Canis lupus familiaris: one gene and its partners. The protein of the gene in region 1 interacts with the protein of each later gene in a pairwise test. Links are inferred from orthologs where the notes say so. Each region holds a gene or a part of one and is shown in the gene's direction. Other genes may lie near its edges. The genes, in order: DLG4, ERBB4, DLGAP3, SYNGAP1 and DLGAP4.

Region 1 (5,912 bases):
GCAGGGGGGGCCTGAAGTTAGGAAGAGGTGGAGGGGGGAGGACAGGATGGTATGGGAGGGTAGAGGGATTGCCTGATCCAGATCTTGCTTCCATTGAGGGTATAGTATTTTCCACAGGGGCTGGGCACAGCTGATGATCGGATGGAGGCTGCATCTGACCCACTGGAGGGCTCCGTTAGACAGAAAGCAGCTATGCTCTCCCCTGTGGGTGAGAGCACCTTTAAACTGCTGACAGGCAGAGGCCCCTCGCTGTCTGCACCCTGCCTGCAGCCGTTCCCTCAGTGCTCCTGGAAATGCTCAGCTTCAATCCTTCCCAGAACCCCCATGTACTGAGCCACCCAGCTGTGTGGTGGCATCTGTACCCAGCCCGGGACACCCCCAGTTGCTGGGGCTCCTAGAGCCGCCTCACCAGATGCCAGTTTGGGGAGGTATTTTTCTTTCTGGGCCTTTGTTCCAAAGAGCAGGATGCCTTTGAAGCCGATGCTCTGATGGGCTCCCAGGGTGATGCCCACACCAAGGTCATGCGTGCCCACAATCTCCACCAAGCGGGCGTACTGGGGGGAAAAGCAGTGTCAGGGATTAACTGACTGCATCGGGGGGGGGGGGGTGTCTTGGCAGGGCCAAATAGGGGCATCCCTACATAGTGACTGGAAAGAATGTTCCCATGGTAGAATGGGACCCTGGTCTGGAGGCTTCCCACCTACCATTAGGGCATGTGAGACTGGGTGAATTCTGTGGCCCGGAGGGATATCATATAGTTTGGTATTTTGTTGGGAAAGGTGTTATGTACTGGGAACAGAGCCATGTTTTTTGTTTTGAAAGATGCAAATATTGGCACAGTCAACATCACACAGGCCCCCCCTTAACTGACAAACCTAAACCCTAGGTCACATGAGGAAGGCGCTTAATCAGCAATGTTGGAATAGCCTGCGATGCTGGCAGTGACCAGGGCTCCCTCACCTGGGTGTTACAGAGGCCCACACCACCCAGCTCGCTGGGTACTTGCAGACCAAAGGCCCCCAGCTCCTTGAGGCCTTGCAGTGTGGTCTCCTCCACCTTCTCCAACGTGTCATTCTTGGCAGGATCGTTCACTTCCTGGAGAAGGCACAGGATGTCGCATCCAGGTTCCTTTCTGGCTGCTGAACACCTCTGCCATCCCATCAGGGACCAAAGCCCTCTGTTCCCCCACCCCAGTCCTTCCTCACCTCAAAGAAACGGGACACAGGCCCCACCAGTTCTTTGAGAAACTGGGTCTGCTCCTCACTGAGTACTGTGGGGGAGAAGGACAGGCTGGTCAGGTCACCGGGGAAGTGGAGAGGCCCTGCCCTGCCCCGCCCCGACGACTACTTACCAGATGGGTAAGGGAACACCTGATCGGTGGTGAGCTGACCCTTGAACATCCCCGCAGCAAAGGACTTGGATTCCTGCTCAGGGAGAAGGGGGTTTCAGCGAGCTGTCTGCTGCAGTGGGTGAGCCCCTGGCCTAGGTCCTCCCGGTATGGAGGCCACGTACCGCCTTGGCCTGCTTCTCTCTGGTCGGAGCCTCAGAGGAGTGGGAATCTGACTTCTCCAGAACCGCCTGGGGAAAGGGACAGTTAGCGAGGCCCGGTAAGGGACTCCCGAGGAGCTGGAGACCACGGGAAGCGCTGGGTGCGGGCGGAGGCGGACGCAGCGACCTTTCCCCTACTTCCATCGTCAGGGCACCCTGGCCTGCCCTTTCCCCTACTTTCGGCGCTACCGCGGGCGCCAGGTGTCCGGGACGGAGAGGGAGACCCCTGCCGGCGGCGGGGAAGGGGGAGCCGAGGCGGACTCCGCCTCCCGCTCTGCGCGCCCCAGGCCGCCGTCACTCACCTGAGCGGCCCCACTGGCATAGGGTCGGCAGGCCGGACCGGGCAGGGGCTGCCCCAGGAGCGCGCTGGGCCGCGAGCTGTGGGGAGCGGGGGCTCAGTCCGGGTCCCCGGTCCCGCTGCCACCCCGGCCCTGCCCTCCTGTCCGACTCGCACCTTCCGACCCCCAGCCTCCGCAGCTGCCGCCCCACGCTCGGGGCCATCCGTGCCGCCTGCATCTCCCAACCACTCCGGTCGCCGCGGTCCTGAGCGCAGATCTAGCGCCGTCCACCCGTCTGCCAAAGACTGGCTGCCCTGGTCCGGTCTTGACTCATCGTCCACAATGCACCGGGGGGGCTGGGCTTCCGGCCGCCAGCGCATGCTGGGAGATGTAGTTCCGGGGCGGGGCCTCCCCCACCCCGCCCCTGCATTCTGGTTAACGTAGGGCTATCTCCAGACGTTTCCGTCTCTCCCAAACGCCTTCGTCCCACCCGGCCCAGCTCGAGTGTAGCCCTCGGAAGGGGCGATGGGATAGGCTGGGGTGGAAGGAGGAGCAGCTCAGGCTTTTGCAGCCGGAGGGATGGAGGGTGGGCCAACAGGAGGACTTCCCCGGTGGAGTTGGAAGGGAGAGGTGGGAGAAAAAAAATGTAAGACGGCGGAAGCAGGGGCAGATGACTCTATGGAGTCCCTTGTGAAACCCATCTCCATCAACACGAGAGGGAGGGACATGGTGGCGTGGGGCGGCCCAGGTATATTCTCCTGAGACCTGAGGTGTCACTAACTTTAGAAACACCTGAATTCTCACCGTAGGGCCCTCCCCTCCCTTCCCCTCTGCAAATTCACCGCCTCCCCATTGGGGCGCTGGAGTCTCTGCCCTTGTTTCCTCCTGAGACTGTGTGACATCCTGGACTCTTCCCAGGGGGAGTGGAACTGTAGGGATTCTTCTGTCGCCCACTCTCACCACACACACCTAGCTCTGGGTCAAGGAGTCCCAGGTCATGTATAGGTCATGTATACCCCTGCCCTGCTGACACACCCAGTGGGGAGAGGCCTGGGCTGGGGCTGCAGGAGCCTCCTTGGGGACACCCCTCCACCCCCACCCCCGTCCCCAGTGCCCAGTCCCTCTGGAAAGTGCAGCAAACTCACCCCTGGCTTTGGGAAGAGAGACCATTGTGCCAGGCGACCCAGGGGGTTAGGACAGGACTGCCCACTTCGGTGGCTAAAGGCTAAAGGCTGGAACCTGGTGGGGAGGCAGCTCAGCTCCAACCCTGGGGATTAGGGAGATTAAAATCAGAGAAGAGAGATGTCCGAGAGACCCAGAGGTGAAACTGGAGAGTCCCATGGAGGAAAGGCCTGGGGGCGGAGCCGAGTGGGGCTGGGACTTGAGGACCCTCCTGCTGATCCTTCCCCACCCCACTTAAGCCCAGGGAGAGGGGACAGGCTAGGGGAGGTGAGTGAGCCGCGCCTTGGTCCATGGGTCTCTTCCCCATCCCATTCCTCCCTCGCTTGCATTTCACCAGCTCCCCGGTCAGCCCTCTGGCTCCTGGCCCCCCCACTGTTGCGATGGGCGCCCCCTCTCTTGGCTGTCCTGCACAGTGACCTCTTCCAGGCCCTGCTGGGTGAGTAGCCCTGATTCTCTGGGGACGCTGGGGTGCGAAGGGCTGGCCTGGGCCTGCCAGGGCAGTGAACACACTTGGGGGACTGTCCGGTTGGCAGCCAGGAGGCCCTAAGGTGCCAGCAGCAGTCAGGGCAGGGGTGGGGGCAGGGGAGCCCCCCCAGGTGGGGTGGGGGAGGGTAACTCAGCTGTATTCTGGTGACAGACATCCTGGACTATTATGAGGCTTCCATCTCAGAGAGCCAGGTAAGGGGGTGAGGTGGGGCGCCTCCCCAGAGGGGCAGACAGGGCAGGGGCCGAGCTGCCGCCCCACCCTTGGGGGCCTTGAAGACAGACTTCTGAGCCCGGGGTGCAGAGAATCCCAGACTCCACGGTCCTGTTGGTCCCTTTCCCCTTCTGCTTCCCCGCCCCCCTCCTCCCTTGGCCCCAATTTCGGGCATAAGGAGTCCAGCACAGAATTACTTCTCATCCTTCCTCCTGTGCAGCCTGAGGGAGAGCTGCCCCCCCACCGGACTCCCCCCTGCCTGCCCCCCCAGACCCCCCCTCCCGCCAGCCAGCACTGCAACTAGCATGGGTGCTGCCAGCCCCACAGCGGGTGCTTCCTCTCCTGAGACCCAGGAGGCCTCCTGATCTCTGGCGCTGGTGCCTGGCCAGGCCTCCATCTTTGCCTTGGGGCCTGTCTGCCTCCGCTCTGCTCTCCTCTCCCATTATCCGGGTTCCTGCCAGCACTGAAGCAGTTAACTCTGCCAAGGCACCCCCCCATCCTCGCTCCTCGCTCCCTCCCTCCCTCCCCCTGCTTCCTCTCTCCTCCTCTCTCCCCTTCCCTCCTCGGCTCCACGGCTCCCTCGGCCGCTGCCGCCTCCAACCCCCCCACCCCACTCCCCCGCCGCGGCCCTAGCCCCTGGCCGGCAGGCAAGACCCCCCCCCTACCCCGGGGCTCCCTGAAATCCAGTTCCCCTCCCCCACCCAGCTCATGCCCCAGCCCCCGAACTCCGGGGCTGCCAGCCCCCGGTGCCCCCGCCCCTCCTGAGAATCGGGGTGTGCTCCCCAGGCCCCCTCCCCTCCACTGGGGACTCCCTTCTAGGGCCCCCTTCCCCTCCCTCCCACGCACCCCTCCCCTTCCCTTCTCCAACCCCCTCTTTCCCCTCTCACCCCTCCCCCCATCCTGGCCCCCCCTGCAAAAGTGGGGTGCGGAGGGGGGAGGGGTGAGAACCCACAGAGGGGAGGAACGAAACTCCGATGAAGTCAGAGCCCCTTACCCGCCGCCGCGGCCAGCCCCCCCAACATGGACTGTCTCTGTATAGTGACAACCAAGGTAAGCACGATAGGGGGGCTCTCAACTGGGGGGAGGGTATGAGTTTGTGGGGAGGGGTTAGGCAGGCCTGATCTGGGGCTGGGGGCTGGGAGTGTACTGGGGGGTCATGATTTACTTTGGGGGTTCACATTTGAGATCATGCTAGGTTTGGCCACAGGTGCCCCCTGGAGTGATCTCTTTGTACCTGTAGAGAAATGGAAAATTTGGGCTGTTTTGTGGTTTGGGGGGGCTGATGGGTTTTGGGGTTCACCAATGATGTTTGAGGGAGACTTATTTAAGGAGAAGCCTGGCTCACATGGGAGTCCTGCTCTTGTGCATTAGAAGGTGGACTGTGTGAGGGGGGGTTCTCTTCCCTCCTGAGGGACAAACTGGCTTCTGGGTGTCTCGTCCAATTTCAGGGGGCTCTTGGCATGGGGGTAGACGGTTATTGGCTGTGAGTGCCTGACTGGTCTGGGGGTGTCAGCTGGCAGAGGAGGGGTGGGCCTTCAACCTATAGAGCAAGCGTCTTGTGGTGGATACATTTGGGGGTACGCTCAATTACGGGGAACTGGGAATTCAGGGTTTGGTCCTATAGAGCGGGATAGTTGGGAGTTGTCAGAGGGCTAGCGCCTGACACAGGATCACCTGAGGGAATGGACCAGGTGAGGTGAGGATTTGGGGTGCTCCCTTGGGAGGGAGAGGCTTGCAGCAGTGGAGGATGCCAGACCCTGAGGAGGAGGAGGAGGAGAGCTTTGGGGAGAGAGGGGATTTGAGGAGGGGACCAGGTGGGTGGTGCAGAATTTGGGGGTGGCCCAGGCAGGTGCTCAATATCCCTGTCTCTTCCCACACTGTATCCACCCCTTGTTGAGAAAGGAGAAGAGCAGATGGAGGGGCATGTTCCCCTTACCCCTGTCACTTGGCATCAAGGTGGGGGAGGACACCTGGATTTCAGGTTCCCAGGGTGCAAAGGAGCTGGAGGAGGAGGGCAGGGTTGGCAGCAGTGAGGACCGGCGGAGGGGGACCCCGTGGTTGGAGCCGGAAAGGGCAGCGCTTGGATGGGGAGCACAGGCCAGCTCCTGGTGGGATGCAGAATACCTAGGTCTTGGCTGTGAGGCTCTGGGACTGGCAAGCTGGATGCCTGGTGTGTGGAGGGAGCTTGGGCGGGTGGCAGGCAGCTG
Region 2 (5,970 bases), on another chromosome or scaffold:
TATTTTTTAAAGATGTATTAATTAATTAATTAATTAATTAATTAATTAATTAATTAATGATAGACATGGGGGGGGGCAGAGACACAGGAGGAGGGAGAAGCAGGCTCCATGCTGGGAGCCCAACCTGGGACTGGATCCTGGGACTCCAGGATTGTGCCCTGGGCCAAAGGCAGCCCTAAACCGCTGAGCCACCCAGGGATCCCCCGAACCTTTTTTTAAATATAGAAACTTAAACTTTCCTAAAAGCAGGAAGGTTTTTTTTTTTTTATCATTTAAATTGTTACTCTGGGGATTGAAGGAAATTTTTAAGAAGTAGTTTTCATGGAAGAGAGGTGTCCTGAGCATCATCATAAGGAGCAGAAGGAGATTTAAGTAAAGGAGACTGAGAAGAGAATGAATGAAAGGAAAGAAAATGGGAGGGAGGGAGGATGATAAAAATAGAAAGCAAAGATAATCCCAAAGAGCAGCCTGCACAATTCTGAAGCAATCAGTACCACTCTGGTCAAGTCACCATCATCTGTTCTGGGCTTAATTTCTCCAGGCACTGGGCTGCTCCTGGGTAAAACAACATACTCAGCTTGTTTGGACTCCTCTCTGTGCCTGTTCCTTGCTGTGGGCCTAAGAAAGGGAAGGCTTCAGGTTTCTGGGATGAGGCTGCTGCTTCTCTCTGTTCTCAGCTCCATGAAAATTCTTTAGGGACAAGGCTATAGATAAAAGATGTGGGGGAGGAATGGGAAGGTCTCAAATGATGAGTGAGGTGGCTTGATTTTTAAGCTCCCCTGATACTTTTTATTTATATATTTTCTGCTTCTGGAGAAATATAAAAAGTAAAGTAATCCATACATAGAATGCCTGTGCAAATAGCAAACCAATAACCTACTACCCCCAGGAGGTTCTGGCCTCTGCCCAGGGTACCGTTTCAGAGCTGTAAAAGGCAAGGGATATGTACACTGATATGACCCAAATCCAGGATATTTTTAATCAAGAAAGGCACAGAAACTCCTATAGTTAGGGATATGGGGACTGGGGAGTGTGGACTCGCAGAAGGTACCTAAAGTTGGGTCTACTGTAGCATAAGCCTAATAATCATTTGTGTTGGCCATGTCCTGGTATGGCCTTAAGTTCTTTCACAGTAACAGCTGCGGAGTGAGAGAGTTTCTAGCCCTTTAGAACCACATTTATACCTTTGGACGAGAATCTGTTTAATGAGAATGAACCCCATACAAAGTTGTCCCAAGTCCAAGGAAAAGGTGAAAAAAGACTTACGAGGTCTGAAAAGCAAAGGCTGTAGCTATATAAATGCCGTCAGTTCGGCAGGGTGGGAATTGTGGGAGGGATGGCATAGTTGGAAAAACGGGTGATTGTGTTCCCAGGACCACCTAACCGGCAGAGCCTCCCAGCTCCCGAACCACCTTTTTAACTACTTTCTGAGTGTGCAGCAGCATTAGAGGTTGGAGAAGGGTGAAGGCTTTATGCCCGAAGCAACGTTTTCTTTTCTTCTATTTCCAGCTCCAGTCTGTGGATGAGCACTGTGTGTGGGGCAGTAGAGAAAACGGGGACTTTCTGGTTTAAGGAAAAGAAAAAAAAAAAAAATCTGTGAGCAACCCTGCGGTGGTCTCCGCGCTCGCAAGCCGCTGTCTAGGGCCTCGGCGTCGGTCGGCTGGGTCGGGCGAGCCCTTTAAATCCAGCTCCCCCGCCCCCCGCAGCACGCGCCCGCTCCCAGACAGGTGTTTTCCCAACTCCTGAGACTGAGGATTTTGGGGAGAGTACGAGCCAATAAGATTCCCCTCTGGGGGGTGGGGGGCGGGGAAAAAGGCGGGGCCAGTTGGGTCAGAGCGGGGGCGGGGCTCGCGGCTGAGCCGAGCCAGCCCGGTTGCGTGGAGGCTTGTTTTATCCGCCCCCCCTCCACCTTTTTTTTTTTTTTTTTCCCCCCTCCCGGAGTCTTATTAATTTCTCGGTGGGGCTGCAGCTGGAGACCGCGGAGCGTTGGAAATGACGCTCGGAGCTTTAATTACCGCAGCCGCCGGACAAGTGTGAGGAAAGCTGACGGGAAAAAGAAGGACAGGATCGGGGGAGAAGCGAGAAGCGCCCTCCCCTCGCCCCCCCCCCCCCCCCCGCCCTCGTCCTCCCATCCCCTCCCAGTTGGGACTGGAGGTGCAAGGAAACTGAAAAGGGAGCCCAACATAGCCCGGCTGCGGGGAGAGGCCGGAAACCTACCGCCTCTTTGCAATCAACTTTTTTTGGAAAGCCTTTTCCCCCCTTCCTTTTTATTGTTGACCAACCAGTGCGAGAAAGTGAGGAGGGAGCGAGGACGCGGAGGCTCGCACGGGGGAAGCGCTGCCCAGTCCGGCCCCGAGCGGCACGCGCACACCCTCGGGCGCACGGCCCCGCGCACACCGGCGCGCACGCCCCTCCTCGGGCCCCGGCCCCGGCCCCGGCCCCGGCTCCCCGCGCCCCCGCACCCCGGCCCCGGCCCCGCCGACTCGGACTCGGACTCGGACTCGGACTCGGACTCGCACGCGCACTCGCCCTCGGCGGCTCCAGCTGGGAGCCGGTGCACCGCGCCCCGGGCGCGCCGGACTCGGGGCCCTCCTCCGCGTGCCCGACAGGGGAGATGCCATTTGGACATGTAATTGTCAGCTCGGGATCTGAGACTTGCAGAAAATGAAGCTGGCGGCAGGACCGTGGGTCTGGGTGAGCCTTCTGCTGGCAGCGGGGACCGTCCAGCCCAACGCCTCCCAGTCAGGTGGGTGTCCGGGGCTCCGCGCCCCCCGCGCCCCCCGCGCCCCTCCGGCCTCCTCCTCCTCGGGCTTGGCTTCCCTTCCTCCCTCCGTCTGTCCGTCCCCAAACTTAGCCTTTTTCGTGTACCTGCGTTTCACTTACCGTGAAATGTCACTCTGCGACCCTGTCCCCCCTCCCTTTTCCCCCCTTCCTTTCTCCCCGACCCCCTTCTTTCTTTCTTTCTTTCTTTCTCCCGCGTTTTCGGGGGAGCCTAAAAGCGGGATCTCTGCGGGTCCTGCCGGTTGTGCGGGCCGCGGGACACGCGGCTCCCGAGGCTCCCGAGTTGGACGGTCCCGCCGTGCGGGCGCCCCGAGAGCGAACGCCTGGCACCGGCGCGCGGGGCTCCGCAGGGGCTGTCCCCGAGCCGGCGGGCGGCGCACCTGTGCGGCCGCGGGTCCCTCCCCGCTGGGGCGGCCGCCAGCCTGCGCGCCGCCGACTCGACGGAGCTCGCTGGCCCGCGGGCTCTCTCTAAAGAAAAGGGGGGGGGCAGGGAAGGGGTTTGACACCCTGAGCGGGAGCCCGGCCCTGCCGTCGTCGCCCGGCTTGGCTCCGGGAAGAGTTCTTCCTGTAGTTCAACTTCTATTGGCCCGAGTCCCTCCAACTTCGCTGTTTACTGCCCGGCGCGGCTGCCGAGCCGACCCGGGGCGCGACCCGGTCCACCCCGAGGCGGGAGCGACGGCGCCGCCACCGCCTCCGCCTCCGCCACCGCCACCGCCACCGCCTGCGAGAAGGCGCGAGCCCGGGCACCTGGACGGGCCCAGGCCGACCGCCCCCGAGGCCCGGGGTGGGCTGGCGTCCGCGGCGGCCAGGGCCACGCACGGCACCTGCAGGGCGAGGCTGCTCAAAGTTTTTGACACTTGAGTTTCCTGGGGATGAAAGCGGGGCGGGAAAGGACGGAGGCCGGTGGGTCTGATGCCGCCAAAGGGGGCCTTTTGCAGAGCGGGGGGGATCTCCGGAGCCACCCCGGGCTGGTGGCGGGAGCGTGGGAGGCAGCTGGGAGGGTGAAGCCCCCCGGGAGCGCCCGGGAGCGGGGCTCGGGCCGCGTCGGGCCCCCGGAGGGCGTCCCCCTGACCTCACCGGGAGCCGCGCGCCGCCTTCCGCGCTCCGCCCCCGCCGCTGCCGCCTTCCCTCCTAGCCTAGTAAATAACAAGTCGCAGGCGCCGAGCCTTTCAGAATGACCTTCGAGTGGCACCAGCGTGCGCCGTTGGTGCTCGCCGTTTGCACCCTCCCGATCCTCGGGAGTCCTTCATGCGCACCGGGTCGCGCGCTCAGCCGCCGCCGGAACCGCACCAGCCCCGACCGCGGATTCCAGGCGGCCTCTTAGATACGTGCCTTTTACCTCCTCCCTCCGCACTCCGAGTCCCTTCGTATTTTCCCTCAATGGGTCGATTATGCACATTGACCCATTCAAAAGCGTGTGCGACCGACACGCAGACTTAGGCGAGAGGGATTTCTCCGAGTCCGAGGCAGCCCACTGGGGGCTGTCGGTGCAGCCTCGGCCGCTGGGGGACCCGGCTCCGAGTGCGCAGCAACTCGGTATTAACTGTGTGGCTCAGGGGTGAGCTATGCCGAAAAGCCCTTTTCAGAATTTCTGCAAAGAATGCAATCCAAATTAGTTCTGCAGCTGTCCCCTTCCTCGTCTCCGGCGACACCGCCTCGCGCCCTCGCTGGTCTCTTCTCGCTTCCCCCCGCGAATGGTCAGACCCACAAGTGAGCCCCTGTAGAGCGCGGGGATTAGCGTGCCATTGTTGTTCTGTGTGTGACTCTGCACTTGAAATTCTAGGGGCACAAAGGCGAGCCTCACTTGTTCAAAACACAGAGTGATCCAGATGAAAGGGCCGCACAAAGAAAAGCTCTCGGTGCATCCCTGGTACAATTGCAACACGCATGCTAAGGTGATCCACTGGGAACTGTAAATGCCCCTGGGGACTTCTTTCTTCACCCTATTCCCCTCCTCACCCCCCCCCCCCCGCCCCCACCACCCCTGCCGCACCTGGCAGGGAAAGTTCAGCTGGTTTTAATACAGTGCTTTCACGAAACCAAGTTACTGTGTGGAGTGTGAGTGAGGCTGTGTGTGTCTGTGTCTGTGTCCGTGGGGCTGTCTGTTCCCAAGTAAATACATACTGCGTGTCTCCCCTCTCGCGGTTAGCAGTCAGTAGCAGTTTGGAGGAGTTTGTTTTGGTCCAAATGAGAAATTAAGTGCGGATAAGTAAACTAAGCTGCCAGAGGGCGACAAGATGTTGAGTGAATTGCTTTTAGATGAAACAAATTAAGGAAACGAGGGAAGACAATCTGCTTCTCGCATTATTAGACACGCTTGGAGTTCAGGGGAAAGTGGCATATTTTTGAAATGCTAATTTCTTAAGCAGAAGGAATGCACCTTATTTACTGCTCTATGTGAACAGAATAAAGATATGGGTGGAGGGAGGATTCTGTTGTATAGATCTAAGATATTTATTAAAATAATTATAATGGGAAAGGACCTGTTTTTATTTTTTCTTCTCTTGCTTGGGAAAAAAATCAGCTTTAGAGAAAACAATTTTTAAATATGTCTCAGGACTTTGTCTCATTTCCAGTAATTCATTTTATCCAGAAATACTATATATATATGTATATATATAGTATATAGCCAAAGGCCCTTTATAGGACTGTTATAAAGCCTTTTCTACCAAAAGGGATAATTTCAAAATTTCTGTTTTCCTGGCATGATTTAAAAATAGTATCACCTTTGTATTTAATTACAATATATAATATTGAAGTGATGCTCTTACATACCTCAATAGATATGGGATGAACAAGTTCAGTTTCCATTTCTTATTTGCAAGTAACTTAATTCTGCTTTTCATGCTATAGAATAACATACGTTTTTTCCTACATATTAAGATGTATCTTCAAACTTAGGGTTGGGGTTTTGTTTTGTACATTTGAGAAGGAAAAAGTTAATAAAACTTAGGTAGATAAAAAGATGTTCAATACACTAAAAAAAAATCTTTCCTACATGTGTTTACTGTAAGCACACCCACAGGATACACGTTTTTTGTTTTTGTTTTTGTTTTTTTTTGAAATTCTTATATATGTCAAAGGGATCTTTTTAGGGGAAGGCATTTTTTTCTTCAGAATGCTTCTAAACAAGTTTATACTCATTGTAACTGTAAATAACTTGAAAATACTGTAGTATGGACTGTTACG
Region 3 (6,064 bases), on another chromosome or scaffold:
AATCAATGGATCTCAGGCCCCAAGACTAAGGTCGGCTTCAGTGTTCTGCATACTTCTCTGATTATGCCTTCGCTTAGATTTTGGCTGGGGTGTTTATTTTCTTGCCAGCTCATTGATGCATTTAAGAAAATTAAAACAATTTTTTATCTATCATTGTTTAACACTTACCACGTTTTCGGTGGAAGGATCAATAAGCACCAGCCCGTCATATTGCTAGAATGACCGTTTGAGGAGTTCTGGTCCCTGCATGTGTGGGGTTCTCGGCCCTAATTCTCTCTCCGGGCTTGGAAGTCTCCAGTGCCTCCTTTATGTTTCCTTACTTCTCTGCCTGCCCCTCTTCACTGAGGCAGGGCTCACTGTTGCCTCTAGACTCAGAGTATCTTGTGCCCATCTCTGTGGAGGCGTGGAATTCCTAACATAGCAATCATAATTTGTGAAGTGCAGGGCCCCTTGTTAAGAAATCATTAAGAATTTCGAGACGGTGACAGGAGAGCATTAAACCAAGAGTGGGGCCTTTTTAAGTGTGGGGCTCTGTGTGACTGCACAGCTCACACTCGTTCGAAGCTGGCCCTGGAAGTAATTATTGGTTTACATCTCTGTCTCCCTTACACATCACCGGACGGCTGTGAAAGCACACTGCCCAGGGTAAACCTGTCTGATTAATCTTAATCAGTAAATGGTTGTTGAATTAACAGATGAAAACTACATCATGTTCTCAATTCTAAAACACGTCAACCCTTGGATAACAGCCTTCAGAGAAAAGCAGAAAACCGTATTGAAGGTCCCTATCGGTTGCAGGATGCGTTCCAATTTCAGAATAGCTAACAAAACGTTCATCTTAGGACTCGGAAACCACGGTGGTGCCCTGGGTGTCCTAGTGATGGCTGGTCTTATCCTCCACGGAAAGCAAAGTGGTTCTTTCAGTTCTAAGGTGGGTTCCTGGGACCAACTTTCCACTTTCTTTTCTGTTGTATCTGGTTTTGCCTGGTCCCTGGGCTGGAAATGAGCTGCAACCTTAGCTTAGATTGAAAATTCCTGATGGAAACGCTCTCGTGGGCCGCAGCGCAGGGCAAGGTAACCGTCCTGCCCGGCCCCCATCCCAGAGTCTAGATTTCCTTGGGCAAGGGCTTTCCACACTCCTTCTTTTTTTAATTTTTATTTATTTATGATAGTCACAGAGAGGGGGGGGGGGGGCAGAGACACAGGCAGAGGGAGAAGCAGGCTCCATGCACCGGGAGCCCGACGTGGGATTCAATCCCGGGTCTCCAGGATCGCGCCCTGGGCCAAAGGCAGGCGCCAAACCGCTGCGCCACCCAGGGATCCCTCCACACTCCTTTTTGTCATTTATGTCATGTGGGATCTTTAAGCAGTTCTCTGCAGGAAGGGGAAAGGGCTTACTCCCAGTTTTAACTTTTCTGGAGCCTGTGACTCCTACTTTCCCCGCCTCAGTTTCTCCCTTTATACAAGGAAGAGAGCCGGCAACCCCAGAGGGGAACCGGGCAAAGGGGGTAGTTGGGTGAACGTGGAGTCACAATAACTTGAATGTGTGTCCCTGGAGAGGAGGACAGCTAGGACAGCTGGTCTCCGAGGCTCCCGAGCCCTGGCTGGGGACCAGAACCGGCGGAGGCAGGCAGGGCGGAGGGGGGCTCCAAGCAGCACAGGCTCCCCCTTCCCGGCGCCCGCCGCACCCCGCGGAATCCGAACCCAGGACCAGCTCCTCCCCCGCCTTCCAGCCCCTCCCCCTGCGGCTTCCCCAGGCCCCCCTCTCCCCGCCTCGCCCAGCGTCTCCCGGGCGCTGGGACCGACTCCAGCCGGGAAGTGCTGCAGTCAGCTCTCCGCCTCCGGGCTGGACTGTCCCCTGCCCTCCCCGCAGCGCCCCGCACGGCCCAGGGCCCCGAGGTGGGCGGGCACAGGGGCTGGGGGGCCGCCGGCCGGCAGGTGGCCTGGGCCGCGCCGGTGTCAGGCTGGGGGGCCCCCGGGCACAGCGCCCCTCCCCGGCCGCGGCTGGGGGGCGGCCCGCGGGGACCCCAAGAGCCTCCCGAGGGGATGCGGGGGGGGGATACGGGGGACCCAAAGAGCCGCCCGAGGGGATGGGGGGGATGCGGGGGGACCCGAGGAGGCTCCCGAGAGGATGGGGGAGATGCAGGGGGGGATGCAGGGGGCGGACCTGAGGAGCCTCCCGAGGGGATGGGGGGACCCGAAGAGCCTCCCGAGGGGATTGGGGGGGGATACGGGGGGGCCAGAGGAGCCGCCCGAGGGGATGCGGGGGGGGATACGGGGGGGCCCGAGGAGCCTCCCGAGGGGATGCGGGGGGGCTCCCGGGTGACACCCAGGCTGTGACCTGCCTCGGGGGGCGCGAGCCCTGTGCCCGGGGCTGCCCGACCGTGTCCCCGGCTGCGCGTGGTGGCGACGCGGTGGCTGCCCGGGCCCGCGGCGCGGGTGGTCCCGGGGGGAGGGGCTGGCGGGGAGCCCGGGCCGCTGCGGGGGCAGGAGCGCGGCCGCCTCGGGCCGGGCAGGCGCGCGGGGGCGGGGGCGGGGGCGGGGGCGGAGCGCGCGGGCGGGATCCCCCCGCCTCCCCGTCCCGGTCCCCGGGAAATCCAGCCTCCGTGGCTTGGCCGCCTCCCGCTCCCGCGCCCGCAGCCGCCCGGCGCTCGCTCGGGGCTCCGCAGCCGGCGCGGCCCCTCCGCCGGGGGCTCCGCAGTGCCGCCCCCCCCGCCGCCCGCACCATGGCCCCCGGCCGGAGCCCCAGCCGGGCCAGGTAAGCGCGGGGGGCCGGGGCCGCGCCCTCGGCAGCGCCCCCCAGCCTCGGCCTGGCTGCGGCCCCGGCGCCGCCCACGCCCCGGGCGCCCGCGGCCTCGGCTCCGGGCCCGGGGAGGGGGGAGGGGGCGGGGGGGAGGGGAGAGGGGGGAGGGACGGGGTTGGGGTGGAGGGGAGGGGTGGAGGGAAGGAGGGAGCCCTGGGCCGCCCCCCCCGCCCCCGCCCCTGCAGGCGGCCGCGGCCTGACCCCGAGCAGGGGGGCGGCGGGAGGGCCGCGCGGGGCCGAGGGGGCTGCGGGCCGGCGCGGGGGGGCTCGGGGGGCCCGGGCCGCGGGGGGGGCAGCCCGCCGGCCGCGGGGGCAGCGGTGGTGTCGGGGAGACCCGGAGAGAAGTTTCCCCTGCAGGTGCGCGAGTGTGCGTGCGTGTCACGGTGCCCGCGGTGAGTGTGCGAGTGTCCCCGCGTGGGTCTGCGGGCGGCCGTGTGCGCGGCGCGAGCGTGTCCGCGGGTGTGTGCGGTGTGAGCGTGGAGTGTGTCGCTGTGTGTGTCTGTAGACATGTGTGTGAATGAGCGTGTGCGCGGCCGCCACGCGTGCCTGTGTATGTCCCTGCGAACAGGATGTGTGTGTGCCCGTGTGCCTGTGTCTCCGTGAGTGGTCCGGGCATCCGTGGCCTGTGTGTGTGTGTGTGTGTGTGTGTGTGTGTGTGTGTGTCAGGCTGTATGTGAGCGGGGCTCACTCTGAATCACAGCACCCGGGCTTTGTCCCTCCTTCCCCGGGGACGGGGACGGGGACGGGGACGGGGACGGGGACACCGCGGGTGCTGGGAGGCCTGGCGCTGGGAGATGAGACTTGGCCCAGGTCGGGTCATCCCTCCGCGCCTGCGACTCCTGCCCCTGACTCAGGCAAGGGCTGCGCTGCGTTCCCCACCTTGAGGTTCACCTTCACCTCCCCAGGGGCCACCCCCCACGATGCCACGGCTGGGTCCTTGCTGCCTGTGGGGCCCCGGTGGTCGGGGGCCGGGGGGCGCGGGAGTGTGTGTGCTGCTAAGAATCTTGGGGCCTAGGAACTTGTGTCACCCCCGTGACGCTCACCAAGGGCCCCTTAGTGCCAGGAGCTGAGGAGGCCAGGTGGAAGCTGCTGTCCTGTTGTTAGTCATCAGAGCAGGTGGCTGTCTCCCAGACTTCCAAGTCCTAAATTTCCAAGTTCTGGGTCATTTGTTCAGGCCCTTGGCTCCAGGTGGGTCTGTGCTAAAGCTTTTGAAGTAAGAATAGTAAGAAAACAGTGCCTTTGTATCAGTGCAGGGCTTTTGAAAAACTAACCCCTCCTCACCTCCTTCCTCTTATCCCCCCAACAGCCTCAGGAAGCAGGCAGGCCCGGTTAAGGCTCTGAAAGGGCCAGGATTCAGCTGTTTTTGTTTTTTGCCTACAAGAGCAGCAATTTCACGTAGTTTGGCTTAGTATGATGCCGGTTGACAGATGAGGGTGTTGAGGCTTCAGAGGTGAATGGCGGTTCTCCGGATTGCCCCCTGCTAACCAGCGGGGCAGAAGGACTCCAACCCAGGTCTTGGGGTGACTCGCAGAGTTGGGCTGGGCCAAGGCGAAAGAGTGGCGCTTCCCGGCGTCTTCTCTCAGACCCTGGGCCGCCGTGTCTCCCCCCACCCAGCGTTCCCTGAGTGCCGGGGCTACTTCTGCACCCAGCTGCCAAGGCCTAAAAGAGAGATTGGGGGAGAAGAGAGGAGGGAGGGAAGGGAGAGGCTTCGTGAGTTGGCAGTGAATCAGGGTCTAAAAAGGGAGCTGGGAGGGCTAGGGTGGCAGGTGTTTCTAAAAGGAACATGAGCATAGGATGAACAGCCTCAGACGCAAGCCCTGCAGCCCCCACCCTCAATGCCCCCACTGATCCTGCACGTGGTGCCCACTGCATTTTATGCCAGGGGGCTCCTGTCCAAGGGGTGCGCTTGCATGGAGCTGTGGAACGGCGGCCGGGAGAGGAACCTTGGGACTGACTTGCTCTAACCTCTTGATTCTAAAGTGAGGGCACCGAAGCCCAGAGAAGGGCGCGGACTTGCCCAAGGTCACACAGCAAACTTGCGTGTTCCTGGCGAGTCTCAGCCCGGAAACTTTCCAACCCTGCGCGTTGCTTTCCATTCCTGGACCCCCTGCCCGCCCCAGTCTATGCCCGTCAGAGCCGAGCAGAGGGGGTTTCAAAGACCCAATAAGCCCGAGGCTGTAGATCCTTTAGCCTGGGACCCTTTATAAAAGAGAGGGCCAGGGGTTGGGGGTGGCTTCGCGGCCATGCCCACCGCGGAGTAGGCCACGGGCTTGTCCGGATTCCTGCGTGTGAGGGGCCGGATCTGCTGAAGACCAGACTCCTAGACTCTCCGTGGCGGTGCCTGCTTTCAGCTGCCGCCTGGCACCTCACATCATCTCTCTCCAGCTGATGTTGGGGCTCGAGCTGGCCGGGCTCCATCTTCCTTCATCCCACCCAGTTTCTGATGCATTCCGCCTCTAGCTGGCCTGACAGTCCTTATCTCATGGGTTCCTGTTGGGTAGAGAAACTTCTGGGGCTTTTCTGGTTTGGGGAGGGTCTGTAGTTACCCTTAAACCCTTTCGAATCACACTTTCCAGAAACCTAGGGTAAACGCTAAGATAATTGTCCCCATTTGCCAGATGGGAAGACTGGAATTCAGAGAGGGGCCTTCTATTTGGTGTTTTTTTTTTTTTTTTTTAAATTTTTTCTCTTAATCTGCTAAGATCAGTGGAAGAGTTTCTTGGAGTGAGGGGACGAGGCGGCAAATGACAGCCGAATCTTTTGCCTAGAGGGGCTCCTACAGACCCCTTCCAGGGTCTTGCCGTCTCCGCCGTCAGGAAGCCTTCCCAGAGTCTGATTTGATTCCCACTTGGTGGAGTCAACTGTTGTCTCAGTGGGAGTTGGAGGACCAGCTGCGTGCCCTCCGCTGTACAAGCATCGTGTCTTGCTGCCTTCTTTGCCCGCCTGCCCCCCCACCCCAGCCCCAGTCTGAAGACTGCTGGCTCAGCGGGCCTCCTGCCGCCTGGGGAGTCTGGGTTTGAGCTGGGGCGAGGCAGCGGCACCATCGTTATGGTAACGAGCTGCTAGCTCATTGTTGCTAATAACTCGTCAAGTCCCTGGGCTCCGAGGCAGCCTGCCTCCCCACCAGCCCTTGTCCCCAAGTCACAGAAAGGAAAAGTGAGGCTGCGAGGGAAGGGCCGATGAGTAAGGGTGTCTGGGGGGAGAGGATGGCCTTGCCCTTGGGTCACTTGGGGGCCGATTTACGCGTGGGATTACATAAGT
Region 4 (5,457 bases), on another chromosome or scaffold:
CCAATGCAGTGGCCTCAACTGCTGCTTGTTCTGCTGACCGCCCCACTTGTTCCTCCAGCCTAGTCTCCCTCCACAATGCCATCCCCATTCCACCATTCCCACCTCTCCTTCCATGCGTCCACACCTTCCACCCACCTCCTTCTCTGTCTGTGCTTGCCCCTCTTCCCATCTCTCTCCAGCTCCATCGACCTTCAGTCCTTCATGGCTCGAGGCCTCAACAGGTGAGGGGCTCTCCCCTCCCCCCGGCCCCCTCTCCTCTCCTGTCTGCTCCCCCTCCCCCTCCAGTGGCCTTCACTCTCCTCTCCTCTTCTCTTCCATGCACCCTCATTTCCTCCATACTTGCCCAGACCCACCCCTCATCCCTCTTCTCGGTGCCCACACCTTCCCTCCTCAAGGCCTTGCTCCCTTCCCAGAGGGGCCTTTCCTTCCTCCTTCCCACGTGTCACCTCCCGTGCTCCCTTCCAGCCCTCTCTAGAGCTGCCACCACCAGCTCTCCACCCTTCCCTGCGGGTCCCACTCCTCACCCCAAGGCCTGTGCCAGACCACAGCAGGCTCGATTGCCGGCAGCGTCGGCCTCACCTCCTGTTCCTCTGCCCCTTTCCCTTCCCGCAGCTCTATGGACATGGCTCGCCTCCCTTCCCCAACCAAGGAAAAGCCACCCCCACCACCCCCTGGTGGGGGTAAAGACCTGTTCTATGTGAGCCGTCCACCCCTGGCCCGTTCCTCGCCAGCATACTGCACAAGCAGCTCAGATATCACGGAGCCGGAGCAAAAGATGCTGAGCGTCAACAAGAGTGTCTCCATGCTGGATTTGCAGGGTGATGGGCCCGGTGGTCGCCTCAACAGCAGCAGTGTATCCAACCTGGCGGCTGTTGGGGACCTGCTGCACTCGAGCCAGGCTTCCCTGACCGCGGCCTTGGGGCTGCGGCCTGCGCCTGCTGGACGCCTCTCCCAGGGGAGTGGCTCGTCCATTACAGCGGCTGGCATGCGTCTCAGCCAGATGGGTGTCACCACGGACGGTGTCCCTGCCCAGCAACTGCGCATCCCTCTCTCCTTCCAGAACCCTCTCTTCCACATGGCTGCTGATGGGCCAGGCCCCCCAGGGGGTCACGGAGGGGGTGGTGGTCATGGTCCACCTTCCTCCCATCACCACCATCACCATCATCACCACCACCGAGGTGGAGAGCCCCCCGGGGACACCTTTGCCCCGTTCCATGGCTATAGCAAGAGCGAGGACCTCTCCTCAGGGGTCCCCAAGCCCCCCGCTGCTTCCATCCTTCACAGCCACAGCTACAGTGATGAGTTTGGACCCTCTGGCACTGACTTCACCCGTCGGCAGCTCTCACTCCAGGACAACCTGCAGCACATGCTGTCCCCTCCCCAGATTACCATTGGTCCCCAGAGGCCTGCCCCCTCAGGGCCCGGAGGTGGGAGCAGCGGTGGGGGCAGTGGTGGGGGTGGCGGAGGCCAACCGCCTCCATTGCAGAGGGGCAAGTCTCAGCAGTTGACAGTCAGCGCTGCCCAGAAACCCCGGCCATCCAGTGGGAATCTGTTGCAGTCACCGGAGCCAAGTTATGGCCCTGCCCGTCCACGGCAACAAAGCCTCAGCAAAGAGGGCAGCATTGGGGGCAGCGGGGGCAGCGGTGGCGGAGGGGGTGGGGGGCTCAAGCCCTCCATCACCAAGCAGGTACGTGAGGGTGGGAAGAAGGACGGATGGGTGAGGAACAGGGAGGGTGGAAGGAAATGGCTTTGTGGAAGTGGGGGCAGAATAGAGTCTGGCATCTGAAATCATACTTTTCTCACATCCTCTCATTCATTAAAGAAATTGTATACAGAGTCCCTGCTAGGTGCCATGTCCTGTTCTAGGCACTGTGGGTTTGACACTGAGTGCCACACACACCCTGCCCTCATGAAGCTCACCTCTCCAGAGGGGAGACATGATATGTAATTAAATAGCATTCACAAGGAGATTGAGACTAGAGCAGGGGAATGAGATGGGAATGGTCACCTTCTTTAGCAGTGCTCTCTCCTAAATGCACCCTACCTTTTCCCACCTTTCCTCTCTCTTCACTTCCACCTTGCCCCATCCCAGCATTCTCAGGCACCATCCACACTGAACCCCACAATGCCAGCCTCTGAGCGGACAGTGGCCTGGGTCTCTAACATGCCTCACCTGTCAGCTGACATCGAGAGTGCCCACATCGAGCGAGAGGAGTACAAGCTCAAGGAGTACTCTAAGTCGATGGATGAGAGCCGGCTGGATAGGGTACGCTGGGCCCCTCATCTTCCCATTACCCACAGGGGCAACCTCTAGATGCTTCTCAGGGAAGGACCCAGGGGTCAAGTAGTTACAGTGGAAAGAAGAGACAAAGACCTGATCTCCTTTCTTAAGAAGTGTCCAGTCTATTAGGGGACACTGGGTACACAGTCTGTCGGAAAGCCAACTTCCAACTTTATTTTGTGGCTTATACACATCATAGACTGCGGAGAAACGTTTTATGTTAAAGCTTATTTCCATTTTATTTCCATGTTCTTCCCCAGGGAGAACAGAAGCCCCGATTCCTATGACTACTCAGGAAAGGGACAGCTAGCTACTCTGCCAGCAGTGTGAGCTGATAAATTGGGTGGGGGGCCAGAGGGCTGCAGTTGTACTACAGACCATGTCCAGCTTACCCAGGCATTGTTCCACCAGCACAGATGATAGAGGGTTGGTGTTGGAAAGTGGTATATGTTGGCCCACGTGTGGAAAGACCAGATCCTCAGCTGGTGGTGGCCTAGAGCAAAAGACAGCAAGAGCTCAGGGCACACACACATAGCTCAGCAGTGCTCCTTGGAGAGGCTGTTGCTCCAAGGGCTCTGAAGAAGAGGGTGGCTGTAGGATTAGGTTAACGTAAAGACTGTACGACTCCAACTCGGGGAAGCAGAGAGAGGTTTCTTGGGAGCTGTGGTTTTTGAGCAGAGGAAAATGTTGGGACTGTCTAGATGGACTTGGTATAGCAAGTCCCATGAGAGAATTAAGCCCTAATGCCCAAGGTAGCCACCTTTGGTAATAAATGACATCTCTCCTTTGCTTCCAGAGTGGGGTTGGTTCTGTATGTATCATCTTTGGAGAATGAGAAAATACTCTCAAGTCGTTTTTTCTGTACTATGACTTGGATGAGATATTTTTGTTGAGGAAGGCTCTAGAACAGTACCATCCAGTAGAGTTTTCTGCAGTAATGAGAAACGTTCTATGATCTGCATCGTCCGTATGGCAGTCACCAGCCTCATGTGGTTGATGCAGCTGAGGAAGGAAATTTTGTTTTATTTACGTTTTAAATAGCCACACATGGCTAGTGTCTACTGTATTGGATAGCACCACAGCTCTAGACTCTAGAGCCAGTAGGGCAGATAAAATGACTCCTCTGTGCCCTTCGAGCCCCAGAATTCCAGAATCATTATCAACAGAGGCAGTCTTAGATTCTCAGCCTGGAGTTGTTTAAAGCCCAGACCTGGAACCCCACATAGCCTCTCCTTATCCAGTGTCTTTTCTTCCTGGGTCTCCCCACCCTCCCCATGTGCTCTGGTTGGACTGAGGAGTCACCTTAAGCTTTCATTTCTAGGTAGGATCACTCAAGGTGAGTGGGAGGGGAGTCTGTATATGTTTGTGTGTGGGTCCTTGTGTGTCCAGATTTACATGTGCGGGCAGGTATATACTGCTCAGGGCATGGGAGCATATGATCTTGGTCCATTTTAAAGGAGCCTTAGGTAGCTCCATAGAAGGGTCTTCTCAAAAGCCACCATGTCTGGTATAATCAGCAGGCAGGGAAAGGACTGCAGAAGGCACCTGGGTTATCTGTCCCTTACCATGCAGTGGCTGCTTGGTAGGCAAGAATGGAGACGGGGTGGTGGGTCAGGGTGAGGCGCCCCTCACAGTGCGGGGTCGTTTGCCCGGCGGGCAGGTGAAGGAGTATGAGGAGGAGATCCATTCACTGAAGGAGCGACTACACATGTCCAACCGGAAGCTAGAAGAGTATGAGCGGAGGCTGCTGTCCCAGGAGGAGCAGACCAGCAAAATCTTGATGCAGTATCAGGCCCGACTGGAGCAGAGCGAAAAGAGGCTAAGGCAGCAACAGGTGGAGAAGGATTCGCAGATCAAGAGCATCATTGGCAGGTGAGGGGCGGCCTGGGGAGGGGTCACAAGGGAGAGCCTGAGGCTGAGGAGAGCCAGCAAGTTCCCCCTCTAGCCTTCAGCCCCAAACTCAGGACACCATGAGGAAAGCCCACCACCTGCTCCCAGAGATTGCCACTCACTACCAATCACCAAATGGGGAGAAACTTCTCGCTCAGGGCATAAATGAACCCTGATCTCTCTCCCGATAGAGTAACTTCTTAAATTCTTGGACTCCCCACTGGTTAGTCTCAATCCAGCCTGTGATGTTCTCCCCAAATCTAAGCAGAGACCTCTAGCCAGAGTAGCCCCTAGCCATTCCTATCCTGGGTAGCCCCTCCCTCCAGCCCTGAAAAGATGTTCTCTTAGAAACTGAATGACCAAAAAAAAAAAAAAAAGTAAAAGAAACCGAATGACCCTTCTGTTAGCATATGCACATTTTCAACTGCTCTGCCAAGGCCTGGCTTCCAAAGAAGGTATCTCAGCAAGGCGGTCAGCTTATCCTGAGAAGTGGTGGGACTCCAGGCTGGACTCTAACTAGAGCCAGTCCCATTTTGATCCACTCTGAATGTAGTTTGGATTAAGATTAATTAGAAGAAAAAGGCTTGACTTGAAACTTACTTTGAAACCCTGTTGTAATTGACATCCTTGATGGGAAATCGTTTTGAGAATCTTCATCAAAGGCACGGAGGTGCTGGGAATGATGATTGTAGAGACCCCTCTTGGTCTTGGGGTATCCCAGGGGTGGCACTGGTGGTGTCCTAGGTTCAGTGAGATGGAATGGGAGATGTAGAAGTGAGGCCTTCAGCCACAGAGGGGCTGTGGGAGGGCACTGTCCTGAATGGGAGGGTGGAGGGCCAAGGGGGCATCTGGGTGATAGAGGTCTTTGAATCCCAGAAAGCTGTCCTTAGCAGGGAGATGTGAGGGTCCCTGAGGGGAAGGTTAGTATAGGGAGTCTTTGGGTCATAACAATAGAAGGATTCTGAGGGCAGAGGAGAAGGACGCCTGAGGCTTTTCCAGAGAGCTGCAGGGGCTCCCCCAGGATCAGGAGTTCCACTGGCAGGCTCCGAGCCCGTGCCCGCCACTAACCCCACTGAAGCCCGTCCCTTCAGGCTGATGCTGGTGGAGGAGGAGCTGCGCCGGGACCACCCCGCCATGCCTGAGCCGCTGCCTGAACCCAAGAAGAGGCTGCTCGACGCTCAGGTGGAAATTACAATGTCATTTATCTTCTCCGTGTCCCATCCCCATCCATCCCACTGTCCTTTGTGCACTCACTGCACCAGCCACCCAGCCCCATTGCCATCTGT
Region 5 (6,212 bases), on another chromosome or scaffold:
ACCGTTTCATAAAGTACTTTCCATGTCCATTATCCCTTTATCCCATCATACATTTGCCCACTACTCCTGGCTACTCTCTGAGATTATATGACTTGCTCAGGATCATTCAGCCAGAAGGTGGAGCCTGGACTGGTAGCCAGGTGTGCGTCATAGGATCTGGAATTTCAGTTCACTTATTCAATCAGCAAACATTTCTGGAGCACCTACTGTGTGCCAGACGTTGCAGCATTGACCGTGATGACCAATGATGATGGCCTTGCCCTCCTGGAGCTCCCAGCCTGATGAAGGAAGCAGTGTCAACCAGTGATCGTGAAAGTGATTTTCTTATATCAGTATAAGTGGCAAGAAGGAGAAACCCAGGATGCTCTAGGAGCCAGTAACCAGGGGCCTGATGTAGTTGGGAGGTCAGGAAAGGCTTCCTGGAGGAGATGAATGTGAAGTGCAAAGGCCTCTGGCATAGAGGGTCTGTGGGGGTGTGGGAGGCTTCTTGGGAAAATATTTCTTGGTTTCCCAGGCCTCAGGGGAAGAACACTGAGGGGACTGCAGGTTCCCAGAGGATGGCTGCCCATTTGGAAGTTGCAAAATGTTTGTTAGCTTTGGATTGTTGTAACAGGTTTTTTGAGATAGAATTTATATACCATCCAATTCACCCAATCAAAGTGTACAATTTAATGTTTTTAGTGTATTCACAGAGTTGTGCAGCCATCACCACAATCCACTTTAGAACATTTTCATTATTCTAAAAAGAAATCATGAGCCACTTAGCCATCACTCCCTCCCAAGCCCCCCACTGGCAACCACTAATCTACCAGCTTCCATACAGAATTGCCTGTCTCGGACATTTCATATAAGTGAAATCATACGCTATGTGGTCTTTTGTGACTGCCTCCTTTCACTTAACATAATGTTCTCAAGGTTCATCCCTGTTGGAAGTCCCAATCTTAAATACCATCAGAGCTGGCAGGAACCTAAGAGACCATCCTGTGTGCTTCTCCCACTTATTGTAAAGTGGGGAATCTGGAAGGAGATGTGCTCCAGTCCTGCAGCAAGGACATTGGGGGGAATCCCCAGATCAGGACCCCTGTTCCCCCTACCCTGAACAGGAGCCTTCCTCTGCTATCACCGCTTCTCCTTCTGCTTTGGCTCTGGGTGATTTGGGCTAAAAGTGACAACGTGGTTGGTAATGCGTCCTCCCAAGTGCTGGATTTCCATGCACTGGCAATTTTCACGCCCCATGGTCTATCTTGAAATCTTTTATGCATCTTTAAGAATTTGTGTCCACTAATTTAGAATTTTTTGGAGTCTGATATTTTCTTTTTCTGCTACTTAAACTTTTTTGTTTGTTTTTGTCCAGACAGTCACACCTGTTTTCCTTGGTTGGTGATTCTTCCACTGGGGGAGGCAGGGTAGCATTGGGGTTAACGGCTGGGTCTTGGCATTGGATGCCCTACCCCTTTCTCATTGTGTGCCTGTGAGTAATTGCTGAAGCTCTCTGAGCCTCAGTTTCTCCCTTTGAAAACCAGGAATAACACTGTAGGGCTGTGGTGAGGAACACATGGAGTCAAGCCTGTTTGGGCTTGGCAAAGAGTGGATGCAGATACAGGGGGGTTATGAGGGCTTTCCAGGGCCTTGGGGTAACCAGGAGAGGAAGGTACCATTCCTCACCATCGTCTGGCCTTTCCTCTGTATTCCTACTGTACCTCCCCTCTCAGGGCTTGAGTTCACATTCCAGCCCCACTTGGATTCTCTGCCCCCACATCAGCTCAGGTTCCTCGGTGCCTCAGTTTCTCCACCTGTAGAATGAGAGACTGAGGGCAGGAGCTTCCATGGAAGCCTCTGAGGTAGCCACAAGGCTCCTGGGAGGGGGCATGGAATGGAGGCACCCCTTCCTCCTCCTTCCAGGAGGGCCTGCTTCCTGCTGATTTAAAGTTCCAAGCAGGAGCAGTGGCACCTGTTCAGGAGAGGTGGGTGGAGAGGGACACCTGGTTTCCCTCTGCCTCTCGCACAAGACGTGTTATATGGGAGGTGGTGGGCAGAGAGGCAGTGGAGGGCCTCCTACTCTGCGTGCAGGGGACAGGGGCAAAGCCTGTTTGGAGGGGCTCTCTCAGGTAGATATGCCAGGCCGGGTGTTACCTTCTCAATCCTCACGGCACCCCTCAGAGAAGGCATTCTTACTCCCGTTTGACAGGGGGGGAAACTGAGGCTCGGAGTGGGGCAGCTGGCTGCCCAGTGTCGCTCAGTGAGTGAGGGGCTGAACTGGGATTCGAACTCAGGCCCGTGTGACTCCAGCCCCTCCCCGCTCTCTCCCCCATCCAGGGATAAGAAGGGAGAAGCAAGGCAGTGGTGGGGCGGATTGGAGCCTTTGGAACCCCGGCTTCCTGGCTGCTGTGGGGATTCTGTGGGTGGTGGGAAAGGCATCGTAAATATGCATGACATGTAAATACGCCTCTGAAAAACAATGTGGGGGCCCACGTGAGCCAAGATGCCAGAGTGCTTTGGAAAATGTAGTGTTGTGCAAACACTTGGGTTTCTATGATGATTGCTCCGTGGTATCTCCCACTCTGGTGTTCACAGGGCCAGTCCAGCGGGCTCGGGGTGGAGGGATCACCTCTGATACCTCCTCATTAACACTCTCCCCCATTCCTACAGACGCTGGTGCCTCCCCCTCTGCCAGGTGCTGGGTGGCTGGAACTGGGTCTCTCTGGGTGCCAGAGGGCGTTGTCCTGTGCTGCTTCCCGCCAGCACCTCCGATTGAGTGCCCAGAGGAATGTGTGTGCCAGCCCTTGGTCCAGTGCCTGCTCCCGAGCTGACGCCTGCTGGTTCCCGACTGGTTCCCATCTTCCCTCTGCACGTAGCTCCCTGGTTGGTAAGTAAGTGCGTCCGTAGCCCGGGCACACGGCATCGGGGCTGCTCACCCGCTCACCCACGCTCTGCACAGTTGGGAGATGCCCAGCCTTCCACCCAGTGGCGCCCACGTGCTGGCGAAGGGACCCCAGTGAGAGCTTTTCTGTCTGGGCTCAATTTATAGTTTAACTGCTTGTCTTACTCAGTCCTCCCCACACCCCAGGAGGTGGGCACAGTGATTGCGTCTGTTTTACGGGAGAGAAAGCCATTTGCCTGAGGACACACAGCAAATCCAGCTCTGACTACCTCAGAGGCCAGCTCTTGCCCAGGGGCTTGGGCAGTTGACACTGTGGGCTCAGTAAGGGAAGGGGAGCAGTGGGCCATGCTGGAAGCCGTGGAAGCTCTGGGGCTCACAGACGGGCTAAGGTGAGGCCATTGGAGTTCCTGAATATTGGGGAGCCCCATTGTTCTTGCTCCTTCATCCTGTTCCACCCACACTCCTCTGGTCCCCACTTTACCTAACCCCAGAACAGGATGAGGTGCAGCACCCCACCTCATGTCTGACCACCGTCTGAGGATCCCACAGTGCACCCACACCTGGTCCCGTCATCCTTCCACACAGATGAGGCTGACAGCATGCCCCCTATTCCCCACAACAGTGCCTAACACTCACCACATTCCTGAATCTCACCCTCCCACCACCTCTCAAGGCTGTTCACAGATGAGGAAACTGAGGCTCATGGGAGCTCAAGGGGCTTGCCCGGGGTCCCCCACCACTACTCAGCATGGAACCGTTGATTTGCGATCTGCCTCCTTATCTGACCTCAGCTCCTCAAAGGTGAGATATAACTGCTTCATTCCCGCAGGGGACAGCCAGTGGCTGGCACAGTGCCTGGCAGATAATGGGTACACAGTGACTAGTTGTGGAAGGAAGGAAGAGGGAAAGGAGAGAAAGGACTCTCCCCTCCCTCCACCCAGACACTTGCAGGCCCTGGGAGCCCATTGGCCTTTTGGCCAGCTGCTGGTCCCTGCTGATCGCAGAGAGCTTGCAGTCAGCTCAGGTCAGCAGGACAGCCAGCCCCTCTGGTCTCAACTCTCTTATCTGCCAACAGCGGCCCAGCCTCCCTGATGGGGTGGTTATGAGAAGGGAAAAAGACTCGTAAATATGTATAATATGCAAATGTCATAGGATAATAAAAACCCATGAAGTTCGCTGTACATAATGTATGTAGAAGTGCTGCTTCTTCGAGAACAAGGAGCTGCACACTCGTGCGGTGCCAGCCTCATTAATAACTGGGAAATGCCCCTATTAATTAGCTGCCCCCCAGCCCCGCTCCCCCGGTCTGGCCTCCGCCTGTCGTAGCTACAGACAGCTATCGCATTTGGCTGAGATGCTGTTGCCAGAAAAGAAGCGATAAGGGTATGGCGGTCTGAGAGCTGTATCTGTGGGATGTAATCACTGGCAAACAGTCCTGGTCATGCCCTAGGCTCTGCGTGTCTTCCCCAGGGACTAAATACATAACAGGAGCAACCCCAACCACAGCAGGCATTTCTTGAGCAATTACTATGTGCCTGGCCTGGCACTAATTGCTTTGTTTTCTTCTCATCTCAAATAGACTACAACGACCCTGTGGGAGGTTGAGGCATATGGACCTGGGGCACAGGGCTCATGCACCGACATTCTGGTCCTTCCTGAAAATGCCTGCCATCGGTGTGCATGTGCCCCTACCCCCGAGCCAGAGGGGCAGGGCTGCGGCCACTGAAATAACAGTGTGGCTGGCAGCCCCCGGTGTGTGTGGCCCAGTGACGGAGAACGGGATTCCTTGGCACGGGTTGGGAGAGCAGCCGTCAGCATTGTAGGAAAGATGGAGGCTCGGGCGGCAGCGAGGGAGGTGTTACTTGCAGCTATTTTGCTAACAAGCTGGTTATTTAAAGAAGAGCTAAAGCCAAAGTCGGAAAGCCGGATGGGGAGTCTCCACGCCCTGAGCAGAGGCAGCCAGGGGTCTGGGGGCCTGGTTGGGTCCGGGTAGAGTAGCCACACATTTGTTTTTCATTTGCTTATTATTAGTAATAATAGTAACAGCAAGCACCAGTAGAGTCTGGAAATGGAGAAAAGAGGCTGGAAGGATTGGGAGGGAGGCAATAATCTGTTCATTGACCCAGGTGGTGGTTACAGAATGCTTTATTCTGTGATCATTTGTTGCAGTCAACATTTTTTTAAAAGATGTATTTTATTTAGAGAGAGAATGTGAGCAGGGGTGCCTGCTCGGCAGACAGGGCAGGGCACCAGCCCCAGAGGCATTCCTACATCCCCAGGGCATTTGTCGTGTGCTAGTCCCTGCTGGTCTCTGCCCTCACAGAGCCCAGAAGCCCAGAGGAGAGGCAGGTATTACTCAATCACCCAAATAAGTAGTGACCAAGAAGAGACTCCATCAGTGCAGTGAAGGAAATGAGCATGGTGATGTCGTAAATACTAACATGATCGGAGGGCCTGAAGGACGTGGAACAGTCCAGGATGGCCTCCCTAAGAATGTGGCCTCTGAGCTGTGACCTGAAGTATAACAGGGATCCCGACACGCTAGAGAGTGTTCACTGTAGCACTGTTGACTATAGAAGGACGGTTGGGAACAACCCATTTTTCCATCACCAGGGGACTCGTTAAACCCATTTACTGAAGTCATACAGTGGCGCCCACTGTAGCTGTTAGAAATGGATCTGTGGCCCTAAATTCCCCACTGTGGAAAGAACTTCATAGTGTATTGTAGAGTTGGGGAAAAAAAGAGGTTATAAAACAGCATGGGCAGCATGATATCATTTTTGTAAGAGCTACATGTGTTTCTGAAAACTGTTCACAGTGGGGGCATGGGAGATCTTTGCTGTGTCTTCTCTGTAATTTTCTAGATTTGGGGTGCTTCCTAAGTGTTAGGACTTGGTGGGGAGAAACAGGGAGTTTGGGCTTCCATGGTCCTGCTTGAGGCAGTTCCCCTCTCCTGCTACCTACTGCAGTAAAATGGGATGAGGCATGGGGTGGGGAATTAGCAGATGTGGGCCACACTTCAGTTTTACCACTTCTTGACTATGTGACCTTGGTCAAGTCACTCTCTCTCTAAAGCTGACTTGTCCCTTCTATGATTAAGAGACAAGAATAGCATCAGAGGGTGGCTGTGGGGCTTTCGTGAGTTAAAACATAGAGAGGGGATCCCTGGGTGGCGCAGCGGTTTGGCGCCTGCCTTTGGCCCAGGGCGCGATCCTGGAGACCCGGGATCGAGTCCCACATCGGGCTCCCGGTGCATGGAGCCTGCTTCTCCCTCTGCCTGTGTCTCTGCCTCTCTCTCTCTCTCTCTGTGACTATCATGAATAAATAAATA

The links.
Region 2: the proteins of DLG4 (region 1) and ERBB4 interact in binary tests that used the Homo sapiens proteins (3 or more experiments, as listed by UniProt). The link is inferred for Canis lupus familiaris from reciprocal best matches to the Homo sapiens genes DLG4 and ERBB4.
Region 3: the proteins of DLG4 (region 1) and DLGAP3 interact in a two-hybrid assay, tested with the Homo sapiens proteins (2 studies listed by BioGRID and IntAct). The link is inferred for Canis lupus familiaris from reciprocal best matches to the Homo sapiens genes DLG4 and DLGAP3.
Region 4: the proteins of DLG4 (region 1) and SYNGAP1 interact in a two-hybrid assay, tested with the Homo sapiens proteins (2 studies listed by BioGRID and IntAct). The link is inferred for Canis lupus familiaris from reciprocal best matches to the Homo sapiens genes DLG4 and SYNGAP1.
Region 5: the proteins of DLG4 (region 1) and DLGAP4 interact in a two-hybrid assay, tested with the Homo sapiens proteins (2 studies listed by BioGRID and IntAct). The link is inferred for Canis lupus familiaris from reciprocal best matches to the Homo sapiens genes DLG4 and DLGAP4.

What each region holds. Positions count from the first base shown.
Region 1 is NC_049226.1:32,392,232-32,398,143, reverse strand, and holds the start of DLG4 (disks large homolog 4), read left to right. Parts: upstream 1-2,279; 5' UTR 2,280-2,405; coding exon 2,406-2,574; intron 2,575-3,249; exon of another isoform or gene 3,250-3,345; coding exon 3,346-3,444; intron 3,445-3,645; coding exon 3,646-3,686; intron 3,687-4,568; exon of another isoform or gene 4,569-4,725; coding exon of another isoform or gene 4,726-4,755; intron 4,756-5,912. Other genes in the region: ACADVL (very long-chain specific acyl-CoA dehydrogenase, mitochondrial), read right to left, coding at 73-202, 410-554, 961-1,095, 1,206-1,270, 1,352-1,424, 1,513-1,578, 1,851-1,926, 2,003-2,064. UniProt on the Homo sapiens protein: Postsynaptic scaffolding protein that plays a critical role in synaptogenesis and synaptic plasticity by providing a platform for the postsynaptic clustering of crucial synaptic proteins.
Region 2 is NC_049258.1:19,995,797-20,001,766, reverse strand, and holds the start of ERBB4 (receptor tyrosine-protein kinase erbB-4), read left to right. Parts: upstream 1-2,504; 5' UTR 2,505-2,664; coding exon 2,665-2,746; intron 2,747-5,970. UniProt on the Homo sapiens protein: Tyrosine-protein kinase that plays an essential role as cell surface receptor for neuregulins and EGF family members and regulates development of the heart, the central nervous system and the mammary gland, gene transcription, cell proliferation, differentiation, migration and apoptosis.
Region 3 is NC_049236.1:7,122,546-7,128,609, forward strand, and holds the start of DLGAP3 (disks large-associated protein 3), read left to right. Parts: upstream 1-2,659; 5' UTR 2,660-2,758; intron 2,759-6,064. UniProt on the Homo sapiens protein: May play a role in the molecular organization of synapses and neuronal cell signaling. Could be an adapter protein linking ion channel to the subsynaptic cytoskeleton. May induce enrichment of PSD-95/SAP90 at the plasma membrane.
Region 4 is NC_049233.1:3,029,948-3,035,404, forward strand, and holds part of SYNGAP1 (ras/Rap GTPase-activating protein SynGAP), read left to right. Parts: intron 1-179; coding exon 180-221; intron 222-612; coding exon 613-1,687; intron 1,688-2,092; coding exon 2,093-2,266; intron 2,267-2,494; exon of another isoform or gene 2,495-3,941; coding exon 3,942-4,153; exon of another isoform or gene 4,154-4,165; intron 4,166-4,771; exon of another isoform or gene 4,772-4,911; intron 4,912-5,249; coding exon of another isoform or gene 5,250-5,262; coding exon 5,263-5,356; intron 5,357-5,457. UniProt on the Homo sapiens protein: Major constituent of the PSD essential for postsynaptic signaling. Inhibitory regulator of the Ras-cAMP pathway.
Region 5 is NC_049245.1:25,731,462-25,737,673, forward strand, and holds the start of DLGAP4 (disks large-associated protein 4), read left to right. Parts: upstream 1-2,657; 5' UTR 2,658-2,866; intron 2,867-6,212. UniProt on the Homo sapiens protein: May play a role in the molecular organization of synapses and neuronal cell signaling. Could be an adapter protein linking ion channel to the subsynaptic cytoskeleton. May induce enrichment of PSD-95/SAP90 at the plasma membrane.